2 linked regions of the Caenorhabditis elegans genome follow. The protein of the gene in region 2 interacts with the protein of the main gene of each other region in a pairwise test. Each region holds a gene or a part of one and is shown on either strand. Other genes may lie near its edges.

Region 1 (3,756 bases), on a different chromosome or scaffold from region 2:
GATGTTTTGATAAAGTTGATTCAGTTGTTTCAAGACCTGACAGAACTTCATGATTCAGTATATCAACATTAATTTTAGATTATAAAATAGAGAAAAAAAACTGTAGTATTCAGAAAAACTAGCCAAATCTTTTTTGAATGAACGGGGGGTATTCGAGATATACAAGAATTTCTAACAGCCGTTCGTGTTACCATAATTGGGCCGCACACTGTGTGAAGCTGTTAAAATGTATTTACTAAAACTGGGAATAGAAAACCAATGAATATCAATTATCACTTATTCCATTTTCGCCTTACTTCTTTCCTTTTGAACTTCAGCTGGGATCATCTCAAGTCTGACACCAGTCAATACAATCAAAATGCCGAACAGAAAAGTCACGTGATTACCGTCTCTGACAGTCAAAAATGATCCGATGTAGAACACAAAGATCAGAACTAGAAGTCGGTGAAGTTTGATGTGCTCATGAGATCTTCTCGTCTTTTCAGGAAGCTCAATGCTAGAAATTGTGGCATTTGTCAGATGAACATGGGCGGCTGGAATTCAAATTTTTAAATTATTATTTTAAAAAAATTTAGAAGTTACTTACTGAAGAAAAAAGTCGAAAATGAAACAATCCAAGAATGATGATCACAAATGTATTGATTCGAGCAGAGAAGCGTCAAAAATCCACAGGAAACAAGTGACATACTGTTCAATCTCCAAACTGTGAAATAGTTTTTGGTGGAAATCCAACCAAACGAGAACCATGCTGAAAAATAATCAGTTTAAGCTTATGGCAAATCCCGAGCGAAGGCCTAAGCCTAAGCCTGAGCCTACGATTGAGCCTGAATCTCAACCAAAGCCAAATCCCAAGCCTGGGCCTAAGCCTGGGCCAAAGTAAACCTAAGCCATTTAATTTATGGAATTTTAAAATTTTTCTGAATTTTCAAAAAATTTTACTGAACTGTTCTGCAGCTGTTGGAAGTTCCTGGAGTTTTTCTGAATTTTTCTAATTTTTTTTGGAATTTTTTTTTGGAATTTTTCTGATTTTTCCAAAACTTTCTGGAATCCTCCAAAACTAAAAAAAAATTTTGAATCTTAAAAAATAATTTTTCTAAATTTTTTTCAGATTTTTCAGAATCATCTAGTTGAAAAAAATCCTGATTTTCTAGGCCTAAGCTTAAACCTAAGCTTAAACCTAAGCTTAAGCCGGAGCCGAAGCCTAAGCCAAAGCCTACGCCTGAGTCTTAACCTACACCTACACCCAAGCCAGCGCCCAAGCCTAAGCCTAAACCCAAGCCTAAGCCTACGCTTAAGCCTAAAACTTTCAAAATTAATAAAGACTTACCAACTGTAACAGCCACTGTATTCATCAGAAGAAAATCGAGCTCAAAAACGTCTCTGAGAATAACCATAGAAAGACCGAAAGCTGTCAGAGCCAAGACATTTACAGTCGAGAGCTTACGCACAACTGGATTTCCAAACGCTTCGGCGTTGAGCTTTTCAAAACTTGGCTCAATGAATAGCATTTTGGAAGAAAAAATAGCAATTTGGGTAGGTAGGCTGTTTAGAAAAGGAGAATCAAAAAAAAGTATCGATTCTTGATGGATGCGCTATTTTTCGGGTGGAGGGGGAGGTGTTGTTGTATGCAGGGGCCACCCGAAACGTGGGAAAACTAATCAATAAGTTGACTCTCCTCCTCTTGTGGCGGTGTACGCTGGGCGACAAACGTCAAAGTTGGCAAATTGCCAAAATTGAAAAATTTCGGCAAACTTGCAAACCGGCAATTTGCCGGTTTTCTGATTTACCAGAAAACGGCATGCTTACACCTTCGCCCTGAAATTTCGGAATTTCAAATTTAAAAGTTTAAAAAACAACATATGAATAACCTTACATCTATCTTGAAAAGTCAGTAATTTCTATTAAAATATATAGAGAAAATAGAAAAAAATTTCGAAAAAGCACAGTTTTAAGGGTAACCGTCTTTTGAAAAATCCTTTTAGAAACTTCCAGCAAATTGGCAAACCTCAAATCGGCAAATCGGCAAGTTGCTCGAATTGAAAATTTCCGGCAAGAGAAGTTAGTAAACTTGAGAAGTTAGTAAATTCTATTAAATAGAAAAAACGGGAACAAAATTTTTTTTTTTCAATTTTTTGCAATTTTGCGGTGATCAGGTACTTGAAAGAAAAATCTGAAAATCTAAAACTATTATATCTCATTTTCAGATGTGACGTCATACTCTACTTGCTCAAAAATTCGACATCCACATTGGCTCTTCACTTAAATTGGCTTTTTTTGGGCTTTCTTCAATGAATTCTTTTGTTTTTAAATTGAATTTAATTCTTTTGTTTTACGTGAACATGTTTTCAGTTTAAAACATTTAAAACAAAAAATCGATATTTACAAGTTTTTTCTGATTAGAATTTTCAGAGCTTTGCCTAAAATGAGTGAGCTTCAGGAGAAGGTGATTTTTTTTTCTTGTTTTTTTTTACTGAATTTCACAGAACTTGCCAAAAATTGTCCGAAAACTTGAAATTCACGCTGAAAAAATTGACTGAAAATTTGAATTTACCGCCAAAAATTGATCTAAAATTTCAGGAAGCCCAGTGTAATCCACGCGAAGAAGAGGAAAACGAGTTTTCGGATTTGTCTGAAAATTCTGAAAATCTTCAAAATGACACGGAAATTGTGGAAATGATGACGTCACGGACTTCTAAATTTTGGCTCATTGCTCCGATTTTCATTGCATTCGTCTTGTATTTTGCTCTTTTTGAGCTCAAAATTATTGAATTTTTGGGATTTTAATTTATCGGTTTTTTTTTCTGAATAAATTTTCTGTGTAGTTTGTAGTGTTTGTAGTCTACAGGCCTGCCTACCTGCAGGCAGGCATAGTTTGTGAAGGTTTAGAATAAATATGATAAAATAAAATTTCACGTGAACCCGCAAAAATACCAACAAAAATGATGATTTGAAATTATTTCAATGTTTTCCTGATTTCTAAAGGTGAGTCTTTTTCAGAAGGTTTTCCTCTTTAAAATTCCAAATTTTCAGCTATAAAATGTCTGAAAAAATTTTTACGATGAGGTAGGGTTTCATTCCGCCTAGCGCCGCCCAAAAAATGGCAAATTTCAGAAGGATTTGGACCCGACCCTCCGCGAATTCCGGCTTGACGGGTTGGCTCAGCAGGCGAGAAGGGTGAGCGAAAGGGGGCGGAGACAGGTAGAGTGCACTACAGTTAGGACTTTACGTTAGTTACGTTAGTTAGTTTACGTTAGTTAGGACGCCTACACCGCTGAGGCAGATGGAAATTACAAAAAAGCTCGGGAGCTTTTGAAAAAAGCTGAAAAGTACGAGACTGAGGCGGAGATTATTCACGAGGTATGTCGTCTACAGTAGTCGTTGGGCAGTTTTACAGTACCCCTACACAAACCCAGCGTTCCTACAGTGCCCCTATAGTACCCATACAGTACCCCTCCCCTACAGTACTCCCCCCCCCTTCCGTATCCATACAATAACTCTGCACTTTGCCTACAGTACTAAAAAAGATTTTTCAGGAAGTTGCTCAAACCTGGAAAGCATCCCGAATTTCGCGAGAATTCTCCAATTTTCAACTGATGATCTTAATTTCTTCTCCGGTGCTTTTAACGATTTTGTTCTATTTCGTCTATAATCTTAATAATGTTTTTGTTCTTAGTTAATAAACGCGCATGCACACCTACAGGACCCCTACAGTATTCTCACCGTACCAGTACAGTACCCCTACAATAAGCTGAAAGT
Region 2 (3,756 bases):
ATCGTGACTCGTGGGCTGAAGCTCGAGTGGAACTCGAAAACGCAGGAAATGGAGAATATTTGAAGAAAATTGATGGTGGACTTTTCGCAATTTGTCTTGATGACCTCAAAACTGAAGAACATAAAAGGTAATTTTAATGAAATAATTTTCAAACCAAAGTTTTGAATTCTCAGACTCGTCCAATCTCTTCTCATCGGAGATGATGCTCGTAATCGTTGGTTTGACAAGTGCTTCCAGACTATCATCGATGGTAATTTTCACAGAACTTTATTAAAAATCATATTTTTTCAATTTTAGCCAACGGTCAAGCCACAATCAACTTTGAACACTCGTGGGGAGATGGAGTTGCCGTGCTTCGTTTAATGGAAGAATCATTCAAGGATACCAACAAAAATCATTTTGTATCTCCAGACGACACTCCAAAATCTCATAATCCAGCACATGTGCAGGCACTCGAATTCAAGCTCACGGATTCTCTCAAATCTAAAATCAGTGATGCTCAGAAGAAACACGTCTCTGCAAATTCTGATCTTGATTTTGCGACAATGGAATTCGAAGGACTCAACAGAGATTTGATCAAGAAAACTAAATTGTCACCGGATTCTGTGATGCAGCTTGCTATTCAAATGGCATTCTATTCTTTGTACAAAGAGTTTGTTCCAACGTATGAGTCATGTTCCACTGCTGCTTTCTTGAAGGGAAGAACTGAATGCATGAGGTAAGCTTATTCCTCAGAATTAAAATATCAAGTTTCAAAACTCAATTTTCATATCGGCAACATCAGCTACGCGTGCCGCCACCTTGGCTATTCTTGAAGAAAATCGTAAAGATGTTCGACAACTATTGACTGATTGCTCCACACAACATTTCCAACTTGTAAAAGAAGCATCAATGGGACAAGGATATGATCGACATTTGCTCGGCCTCAAAATCACAGCTCAACGATTGAGCCAACCAACTCCAGATTTCTTCCAAGATCCAGGATACACGAGAATGGGTCATTTTGTACTTTCAACGAGCACTTTGTCAACGGATACGATTGTCTTCGGAGGATTCGGACCAGTTGTGCAAGATGGATTCGGTATTGGATACAACGTTGTTCCCAACAAACTCGGAGCCGTTATTTCGAGCAATAAGGTTCGTGATTTCTCTATTACCCAGACGCTAAATTTTATACTTTTTGCGTCAAAATTACGGTAGTGGTCTCGACGCGACCTTTTTTTTGTTGCTAAATCCAAACTTTCGTTGCTTCGGAATTTTTTAATCATTTTTTCGATAAGAAATATATGTATATTTAAAAAAAATAAAGCAAAAAAACTGAAAAAAAAAACCAATAAAAACAACAATATGTTGCAACATTGAACACATCGTAAGAAACAAAGAAAAAGTCAATTAAAATTCCAAAGCCTAAGAGCTTTAAAGGCGCACAGCTTTTCGCATTTAATAAAAAAAACTATCTTGTTGATACCCGAAAAATTGTCTAATTTTTTTTTGAAAAAAAAATTAGTCAAAAAATAGAAATATTTAGAAGTTTTTTAAAAGTATATGGAAAAAAAAGAAACTTTTTTAAGAATATAAATATTATCAGATATTATATAAAAATCGAAATAAAACTAAACATCAATAAATTGAGATTAGAAAAATCTTGTTCAGGTACCGTATTTTTGACAAAAAAAACTCGAAAATTTCAGGTTATTATCTTATCTCTTAGAATTTGAAAACATCTTATCTTTATAAAATTTTCAGTCGAAACGTGACGCTGCCGCCTTCTCGAATGCTCTTTACAAGAGTTTGGACATTCTTCGTGGTCACCTTCTCGATCCGAAATAATTGTTTGATGACATTTATGTATTTATAGTGTAAACTACTTATTTATATTCATTTTTCTGTATTTTAGGGTAATTTTTCCTCGCGGTTTCTGCCAGATTTTAACCTAACGAGTATTTTCAGTTTCAAAAAATTCTTGCTTTCACATTGTAAATGTTAATTTTTGTGATAAATTTTTATCAATCGGGAAATCAATGTTTGATTATTTGATTATTCATTGATGGTTTTGTTATCGGTTCAAACCTTTTATTATCGATTTTCACTCATTTTTTAGATTATTCAATTTATTGCCATATGTATTATACTTTTATTTTAAAGCTTCAGGTTGAAAATGACTGACCCATCTAGTTCCCCGATTCGACCGGACATGGTAGAAGCAGCAAGAAAGTTTATGCTAACTCCAAAAGTTAAAGAGACTCCATTTGAAGAACAACGACAGTTTTTATTAGGAAAAGGAGTCAGTGAGGCTGAAATCTTGGAAGCACGAGCATCTATTCCGCCGGAGCAGTTGAGAAGTCAAATTGGAACAGAGAATATGATTCCAATAGGAGGTCATCCGCAAATGATGATTGCTCCAAAACAGAATGGGTTTGTAAATGAAATTATTGATTTCAAAATATCACCGCAAATTTCAGAATAGTATCATTTGCACAATCAGCTGTGGTACTTGGATCGATTTCATATGCTGGATATCGATTCGTCCGATCATATGTTCTGCCCAGATTCTTCGATATTCCTGATCCAGCAACAGAGGAAATTCGTCAACTGCAATCACAAGTCGACGATCTTCAGAATTCAATAAAATTCATAATGGATTCTGTTTCGCAAACAACACAACAGCTTGCAACACAACAATCAGAAATTTCAAGAGCCCTCTACTCAGTTGCTAACAGAGATGCTGATTTGAATCGGGTTGAGGTGAATTCTAGAAGATGGTTTTTGTAATGCTAATATTTCAATAATTTTCAGAGCGGAATTTCCACGATAAAAAGTTTACTTCTCAGTCAACATAATTTTGCTCCAATCGTAACACCTAGTGTTACTTCATCAATTCCATCATGGCAGCAGAGTGCAACTCCAACTTCTGCAACATCAATCACCACAACTACAACTTCTGAAGCAGCTTCCGGATATGCAACTCCTCCAGCCAATTTCAAAGAATCGTCATTAGCTGACGAGTTGGCAGATATTGAAAATATTGAATAGAATTTCAGAAATCTATGTAAATATATAATTAAATTAATCATTTTTAATGCACTCCTCGAAAGCCATTCCCTTTTTCTGTGATTTCTCATCAATTCACTGTGCCTTTTCATTTTTCATGTGCCACATTCCAAAGATTGTTAATTTCATCTGTGATATTACGAAAGAAAATCATATCGACATCTGAACGTTTCATTTCACAAAATGGTTGAGAAACCAGATATAAATTATCAGAATAAAAATGTGTTGCATGAAATAAACATTTGTTATTTAGGCATAATGAACAAATCGTTGATTGCTCTCGGAGCACAGACAGCTCGTCGATTTCTGAGCAGTTCATCAAAAAATACGATAGGAGGAGGAGATGCGAATCGGGCAGACACTGGTAATTTTAGGTTTTTTGACTAATAAAAAATGTATTTATTTAGCATCCGTTACTTTTCGTTTATTCCGTTTTGGATTCGGCAAAAATTTGTAAACACTCGATTTCTGATATTTTTCCAATTCATCAAACCTGCAGTCACGAAGCTATTTATACGGTACTCGGTCTCGACACGAAAACTTTTTTTAATGCAAAAAAGTACACTCCTTTAAATAATGAGTGCTGTAAATTCCCACTCTCATTTCTAAGAATTTTATTCCATTTTTCGTAGGTTTTCTCAAGATTTGTTAAAATTTATGTGTTTTTATTGTAAAATTTAAGTTTTTCATAAATTAATGTGTATA

What was found. Proteins that work in one complex are often made in the same cells at the same time.
Region 1: the proteins of prx-14 (region 2) and W04E12.2 interact in a two-hybrid assay, tested with the Caenorhabditis elegans proteins (one large-scale study listed by BioGRID).

The regions. Positions count from the first base shown.
Region 1 is NC_003283.11:19,739,529-19,743,284, forward strand, and holds W04E12.2 (Cytochrome b561 domain-containing protein), read right to left. Parts: upstream 1,607-3,756; 5' UTR 1,509-1,606; coding exon 1,328-1,508; intron 749-1,327; coding exon 587-748; intron 534-586; coding exon 277-533; 3' UTR 28-276; downstream 1-27. Other genes in the region: W04E12.3 (uncharacterized protein), read left to right, coding at 2,423-2,443, 2,578-2,784.
Region 2 is NC_003282.8:11,180,987-11,184,742, forward strand, and holds prx-14 (Peroxisomal membrane protein PEX14), read left to right. Parts: upstream 1-2,145; 5' UTR 2,146-2,158; coding exon 2,159-2,415; intron 2,416-2,462; coding exon 2,463-2,745; intron 2,746-2,796; coding exon 2,797-3,033; 3' UTR 3,034-3,309; downstream 3,310-3,756. Other genes in the region: cpt-2 (Calponin-homology (CH) domain-containing protein), read left to right, coding at 1-127, 174-250, 298-718, 771-1,137, 1,747-1,830; nuaf-3 (NADH dehydrogenase [ubiquinone] 1 alpha subcomplex assembly factor 3), read left to right, coding at 3,310-3,415.